2 linked regions of the Xenopus tropicalis genome follow. The protein of the gene in region 1 purifies or fractionates together with the protein of each later gene. This does not show direct contact. Links are inferred from orthologs where the notes say so. Each region holds a gene or a part of one and is shown on either strand. Other genes may lie near its edges.

Region 1 (3,829 bases):
GCATGGTGCCAAGAAATCATAATATTGCACTTTGCCTTTCTGCTGTTTGCTTGTCTTTTCTTGACCTGTGAACCTTGTGCTGGCATCAGCCTGTGCCTGTATGTAGAGCCATTGCATCAGCCTGGGTGCAGGCAAATAGAGCAGATTTCCATGGCAAGTTGGATACTCTTGCGTTTCAGTGCCAAAATCCACTCTGTGTGTCTGCACCAAGTCCAGCGTAATGACTCTGGTTGCTGGCAGAGGGAAAGTCTGATGCCAGCTTAGGGCCTCATTCCCTGCCTGCGTTTATCTGCAGACTGGGAATCAGACCTGTCTGGCATTAGCCTTAGATTTTACGATCCACACTATTTGAATGGTTAAACCTGACTGGATGCAATCTGTAGCCTTTGAGAGGGTTGCTAAAGAATCTGAGTAAGTGTGGTTATAAAAGATAAATTCTGTTACAGTTTTCTTTCTGGAAAGATAAAACCGTTTTAAATGGCATAGGGTCTGAGAGGGAAAACTCTACAGTACCTAAAGGGCTGTTCATTTTTGAGTTAACTTTTACTTGACCTTTACTTAACAAGTAATCTTTTAAGACAGTTTGCAGTTGGTCTTTATTTTCTTGTTTTATTTTTTTGCAATTTTTTAGCTTTTTGTTCAGAAGCTCTCCAGTATGAATTTTCAGCATCTATCTGGTTGCTAGGGCCCTAACCTAGCGACCAGGCAGTGGTTTGAAAAAGAGACAGGAATATGAATAGAGAAGGGTCTAAATAGAAAGTTGAGTTATACAAAGTAACAATAACATTACAGTCTTTAGAAAGAGCCTGAGATAGACAGGGTTTGAGAGTGTTGGTTGTTCGTTGCCAACCCTTTTATTTGCTGTATAACCTTCATGTTCTTTGTGTTATATTGACACAGTTTCATTCTTCAGAACTGCCCTTATTGTCTTTCCTGTTTACAGTTGAGCTCTAACGGAACTCTTGGCCTTGTTGTGTTGTTTATAGCTGAGCTATATACCTGACCTCTAGGTGCCACACAATAGAACAACCCACCTTTGCCCCATGTTCCCCCAACTCTGCTGTATTTTTCTTCCCCTCTGTTTTAAAGATTATATTCTTATAATGACATTTCTACCTTAGCTGTGTATGCAGTGATGGTATATACAGACAGCTAACGCAACAATTCATTCTTGTGTATTGTCTGATATGGAACGTTAAACTCTCCATAAAGTATGTAGTGTGAAAACTGCTAGTATGAAATATACAAGAAAAAATGCAGTGTACATTGCAGATGGTGAGGTTGGTTACCCTTCCATGGAACCTCCTTTATTTTAATATATGTATGCTCTGGAAGGGACCTATTGGTAAATAAAGTATTAGAGATTATTATATGGTCTCCCTTATATATTTATACATCATATCCCCCATTAAGCGCCCTTTTTCCAGCATAAACAGCCCCAACTTTGTTTTTTTTGTAATTTAGACTTCCATACCCTTTACCAGCTTAGTTGCCCTTGTTTAGACTCTCTCTAATTCAGTAATGCCCCATTTAAGATCCCTGCTTCTGTGTATACTTTTTCTGCAGGTTACCTTCAAATCCGATGCTCCAACAGGAGATGTTATGCTTGATGAAGCCTTAAAACACATAAAGGAAAGTCCAACTCCAGAAACTGTACAAAGCTGGATTGAACTTCTCAGCGGTATGTGTTACAATTATGTCAAATCCAATTCTGCTACAATTGCTGTATATGATTGCTATCACAAAATTAAAGACATGTAGACATTAATATTGTGAGACAGTTTGTAATTGTTTTTTGTTTTTTTTGTGTTTTATCAGTTATTTAGCTTTTTGTTTAGCGTCTCTCCCGTTTGGGATTTCAGCAGCTATCTGGTTGCTAGGGTTTTGTTTACCTTAGCAACTAGGCAGTGGTTAGAATGAGAGACTGGAATATGAATAGGAGGGGGCATGAACAGAAACATACGGTTTAAAAAAGTAACAATAACAATATGTTTGTAGCCTCACCGAGCAAAGGTTTTCTTGCTGCTGGGGTTAGTGACCCCCATTTGAAAGCTGGAAAGAGGCAGAAGAGAGAGGCAAATAATTCAAAAAATAAATAATAGGAATAGGGCATTCTTCAACTAAAATGTAACTTAGAGATATACTGACACCTGAAATTAATTTGTTTTTTTTATATGTATTATAACATTCATTGTCTTGGCACAAGCTTTTTCCATAAAAATATTACCTGATGCTTTTATGTAACCTATATGATCCCCCATGTTCCTCTATGAGAGAAATGGCCAACATGGCCTATAGGGAACTTTTAATGTACATTAATATTTTGAAAAGTAGTTTTTTAGTATCACTTTAAAGGTGAACCACCCAAGTTATGTTGTACAAAGAATAACATTGGGCTGCTGAGAAACCCAGAGGCCATAAAAATCCTCTTGGGGCTGCATCTGGTTGGGCAGCCCTGCCATGTGTAAATAGTACAGTAAATAAGGCTGCTTTACTGGTCTCGGATACAGCAGTGCTGTGCAGTTAATACTGAATATTTTATTCCCCTGAGCTGTGTATCTGTTTACACCTGGTCTTGTGAATTCCCTGTGTGGATAGTATTTCCCTTAAATTTGGTCAGGCAGCTTCTCCCTATGACACACTCAACCTTCCTCTGGTATGGCAGTATTTCCTTATGCACATACTCAAATAAAGGTGGCCATACGTAGGCAGATTCAGCTCCTTCAGTCTGAGTCGGCAGCGTATCTACCTGTGTAAGGGGCTATCCAACAGGCCTACCCTACCGATATCTGCCCGAGAATCGCCCAGATATCGACAGGCTTAAAAATCTTGTTGGAGCATTGGCTGGCTGATGATGATCCTTGCCCCAATGGCCTGTATTCCCATTATAGTGATCTGATAGTTTGGTCCTAGGATCTTTTTTTATTTATGGCCAGCTTGGCACTCTAAAGCAGCAATGATGGGCCCTTCTGGAGTTTATAAATGTTCTGTGTATTGCCAGTGAGCTAATTTATCTAGACAACTACCTAATAATAAATTGTAATGATCCAAAAAATAGGAAAAAAGCTTCAGCAGGTTTGCTGCAAAACATTTATTATGGGAATGGTTACCACTACCCATAATAAATGTTTTGCAGCAAACCTGTTAAAGCTTTTTTCCTATTTTTTGGATTTCTAAAATTGTATTTGGTTGCAGCACAGAGCAACAACTAGGAGCTAAAGCTTTTTTTTGAGCTACCTAATAAATCTAATTCTCCATCCTGTAATAAGTCCTGTATTAAAATAAAAATGATAAGAGAACTAAGGCTGGATAATAATCAGTGTTTGTTCCATCACAAAGAATAATGTTTTTGGGGAATTTTAACAAAGCAACAACAAATATTTCTTGCAGAACAAAGTGCCAAGGATTCTGCCAAATTCTTTTCCCTTCTTCAAATAAAAATGTCATCAATACAACACATCCTAGAGGTCTTGGGGTGGTGTTTCGCAGCCGTAATGGTAGCACCTAGGGCAAAATCCCATTTTCAGAATTTTCTTCATTCTGGAATAAAAAAAAGGACACTTGATAATGACAGAAGGGAATTTAATGCAATACAATAGATAACCCAGAGAAGGAGCTGCTTTGGCACCCTGATTGTGTGAAATACAGATCAGTTATTAATTTCTCTGGTTTATTGTACTGGGGAATGTTAATGGATAAGCAGTAACTGTTTGCATGGAACTTTTCCCACAGAAACCTACTATGGGGCTTCTGTCACTCACTCTCTTCCCATCTAGGTGCCAGCTAACTAAATATTTGAAGTGGCATCTGGCTGGTAAGTGGGGGTGCA
Region 2 (3,829 bases), on another chromosome or scaffold:
ACCTAATATCCAGCTTGAAGCTCAGGGTAAGGTTTTGGGTAAAACTCTATTCGCTATCCTATGTAGTCTATGTAACCTCAGCTAAATGGCTGAAACACCAGTGTTTTTTTTATATCTGTAGTCTCTTATTATGAACTTGTCGGGTGGGCGGCAATGTGCAAAAACCATCAGTGTCAAAGGACTGATTTTAAAATGGAGAACAAGGTGTATGTTTAACCCCATCAGTGCCAGGGTATAAGTGTATGGTACCCTAGGAAAGCACCTACTGATTACAGGGTATACAGAACAATGAAATCATTCAGTCTTTCTGTGGTTATAGGATGATTTTTTTTACCTTTTTCAGCATGAAAACACAACCAGTATAAGGTTCTGCCACAACAATGGTCTTAGATTTACATTACCTTTTGGCATCTGCTTTTTGTGTTTGGTGCCAATTTTATTCTCCCTTTTCACTTTAATTTATCTTAATCTTCAGTGTTTTAAATAAGATATTTTATCGTTATTATATAACTGCTTCCTCCCCTGCAGGCCTTTACAGGATAAATGGATACAAATACAAAAGACATAACAGCTACATATATAGACAAACATTTAACCAGAATGAAATTCCAGTTACAATTACATATTGTTAGGAGACAATAGGGAGAGGGCCCTGTACACAGTTAATCTAAGGTAGGTTTTCCTTTTGATAGTGAAGAAAGTACATAGTATAGTGTTAGAGAAAAAAGAAACCATCTTGTTTCTTTTCTCCATCTTGTTCATATCATTTAATATTAGAGGGGTTGTGAAATACATTGTGTAAGAATGTTTCTGTTTGCTGTTGTAAAAACATTTTGGATGAGTCCGCAAACTTGTGAAAAGAGGCATGTTGGGTGTTGGTCAACTGGGCCTCTTTGCCTGTTCTGTTCTTAGAGATAACAAAGCTAACTACTGATAAGACTGTTTCAGGACTATAAGACAAACATGCTTTGGGTTATTCAATGTAGTATCAGCTCATAGACAATTCTCATTTAAGAATGTCTGGATACTGCCTTCGTACGTACGAATAAAATGTAGCTACAATCAAACTGGCCTATCCAACAGTTTTTCCTTGACAATAGATATGAGAAATATACTTAACTGTACTCTTCTTTTGTAGCATGATTAATTTACCACTTACGTTTCCACAGGTTCCTGCAGGAATCAAACAGCGCAATGCCCTGCACCTGGCACACATAGGACATCACCCTTCTTTGCTAAGAGCTTTTTATCTTGGGCATCATGAAGCTAAAGCAGCGGGTCGCTGTCTTGGCTCTGCTGCTGGTGATTTTGGTTCTCACCAAGCTTCTTTTATTGGACCGCCTGGAGACCTCTGCTGCTCAGAGGCAGGACCAGCTGTCTTTTGAGCGTATGATGTCCGGCTTACGGCTCACCATGGACTCCCGTTTGGAGCATACCCTGCAGTCCCCTTGGGAGATTGCATCCCAATGGGTCGTGCCACGGGAAGTGTATCCTGAGGATAGCCCAGAAATGGGAGCAGTATTGCATTCTATGGCAACCAAGAAAATTGTGAAAGCTGATGTTGGCTACAAAGGCACACAGCTTAAAGCTTTGCTTGTCCTGGAAGGTGGACAAAAGGTGGTATTTAAGCCCAAAAGGTAGGAGTCTAAATCATTGCTCACTTTCCTTTATGTGTGCTGTTGTGTGCATGCTTCACTGATCTCTTGCTGCTTTTGTGGAAAGGCATAATATTTTCCATTTACCTATGGCACAAGCATAACCCCAGACACCATTGCTGGGTACTGATGTGTGATAAATACACTGCTATTTGTTGTGGTGCCATGGCACACACTGTACAACAAATATTGTACACTTTAAAACTGAAACAAATGAATTGCACTGCATGGGAACCCTGTATGTAGCACCAGTTACTGATTTTTAACCCAGAGCTATTCAAACTGGAGTGTTCCATAAGAATCATTACTATAAGTAACCACAAACACTGTAGGCTGCTTACATTCACAACCCCATCCAAGTGTAAATAAACTCCTTCTATTAGTATCCCTCTGATGAGTGTGAGCTCTCTAATTTACATCATATTGTTGCTCACTACACTGTAACAAATTGAACACATTCCCATATTCTGGTTAGTTATTAACATGACAAATGTTTGTGCTTGAAACAATAGTAAATACAAATAAAAAGCAACTACTTAGATATTTTCTATAAAATCAGTAGAAATTATGCTGAAATGTTTTCTGCATATTGTATTAATTAAAGCACTAGTGGGTAATTCTTATGTTTTTACATATATATATATATATATACTCCATCCCTATAATCAGCTGTTAGCCATAAGAGACATAATGAGTTCTGCATTAACATCCTCTGGCCTCTGCCCTCCCACCCTTTGCTGTGGTACCAGCCTCGGGTACTGCTATATGAGTGCCACACCATCTTCCAAGTGCCCTCTATTGGGCTTGTCCAAGCACATGGTTAGCACAGAACACTTTATTTCTGTACTACACATGCACCATTTTATAACTGGGGTAGGGGACATCCTGAGGGCTGAATAAATAGATGACAATGTGACGCTCTGAAAACCTTAACCTGGAAGAGCTTCGGCCCAGGGTAATAAGTGACAAGAAGAACAGTGGTGGGCCCTAATAACTTGCCTACCCCCGATTATATTACCTTCTCCTTCAGCTAAATCCTATTTCTCTTCTGACAGGTCTGATATCTGACCTGAAGTAAGCTGCCAGTACCTGCAACATTTCCCAAACCTAATATTGTTCATTTAGCAACCTTACACCCCTCACTGACAGTGTTTCCCATAGCAACCACTCAAATTTGTGCTGTCATTTTATAACATTTAGGTTAATCCAAAACTGAATGCTGTGTTTGTAATGGTAAAAGTTCCCAACATCACAATTACATTCTCCTAAAGGCTCCCGTCATAGCTTCTGAGTAAAATATGGCTACCAAATAGTTGCATTTAGTTATATAATAGCTACAGGGCTAAAAATGAGCAAAGAGCTGAGTTGGCCATGCACATGTTGAAACAAGAGCTGATTATGTATATCTGAATTCCATTTAGCATGGCTTCTTTATAACTTCATTTCTGTCATTCCTATCTGTAGTTTCTGTGCTTGTAATCATGGAAAAATTCATGTAATATTTTGTTTGAATGTTTCAGATACAGCCGTGATTATATTGTGGAAGGAGAACCGTACGCTGGGTATGACAGGCATAATGCTGAAGTCACTGCTTTTCATTTAGACAGGTGGGTATGCGCAGTACTTCAACCAGTGATCAGGTTCAAACAGGTATCATAGTTACTGAGTTCCCAATCTGCTTTCCAAGCATCTGTGAGGCTGGATACCTGTCATTTATATGGTAGCAACAGCAACTGGTATACTTCCATGGGAAATGGACTTCATTTAAACAAAACAGGAAGTGTTCTTTTGTTGGCTAGAAGGACTATATTGTCAGGTACAAAAAGTTGCCTTCGGCCAAATAGAAATGTCAAGCTGCCTCGTACCTGCATACAATCAGCATATTTACAGACCCCTGAGGAGAAACTTTTGTCTATCAAAGATTCGCTGTGCCCTCTAGAACTTTTTCTTCCTTAGTATTAGTTTGCTAAGGCATTTGCTAAGGTGGCCAAACTGCACTGTCTCTTGTAGTTTAGGATATGGCAATCCCTTGTTTAAAAATTGGCAATCTGTATTTGTTCTCCAAAGAGCTGCAATCAGGGACCCTGTGGCTGTTTAAAGTGATGCCTTTTATTGCAGAGCAGTTTGAGGCACAAATACACTCCCGTTCAGTCTTTGGGGTGAGCCCCAGTGTT

Evidence for each region.
Region 2: the proteins of golph3 (region 1) and fam20b purify together in Homo sapiens (affinity purification with mass spectrometry; 3 studies listed by BioGRID and IntAct, with this or other methods). This does not show direct contact. The link is inferred for Xenopus tropicalis from reciprocal best matches to the Homo sapiens genes GOLPH3 and FAM20B.

The regions. Positions count from the first base shown.
Region 1 is NC_030677.2:200,758,722-200,762,550, forward strand, and holds part of golph3 (Golgi phosphoprotein 3), read left to right. Parts: intron 1-1,566; coding exon 1,567-1,681; intron 1,682-3,829. UniProt on the Homo sapiens protein: Phosphatidylinositol-4-phosphate-binding protein that links Golgi membranes to the cytoskeleton and may participate in the tensile force required for vesicle budding from the Golgi.
Region 2 is NC_030680.2:99,822,411-99,826,239, forward strand, and holds part of fam20b (glycosaminoglycan xylosylkinase), read left to right. Parts: intron 1-1,169; 5' UTR 1,170-1,260; coding exon 1,261-1,637; intron 1,638-3,175; coding exon 3,176-3,262; intron 3,263-3,829. UniProt on the Homo sapiens protein: Responsible for the 2-O-phosphorylation of xylose in the glycosaminoglycan-protein linkage region of proteoglycans thereby regulating the amount of mature GAG chains.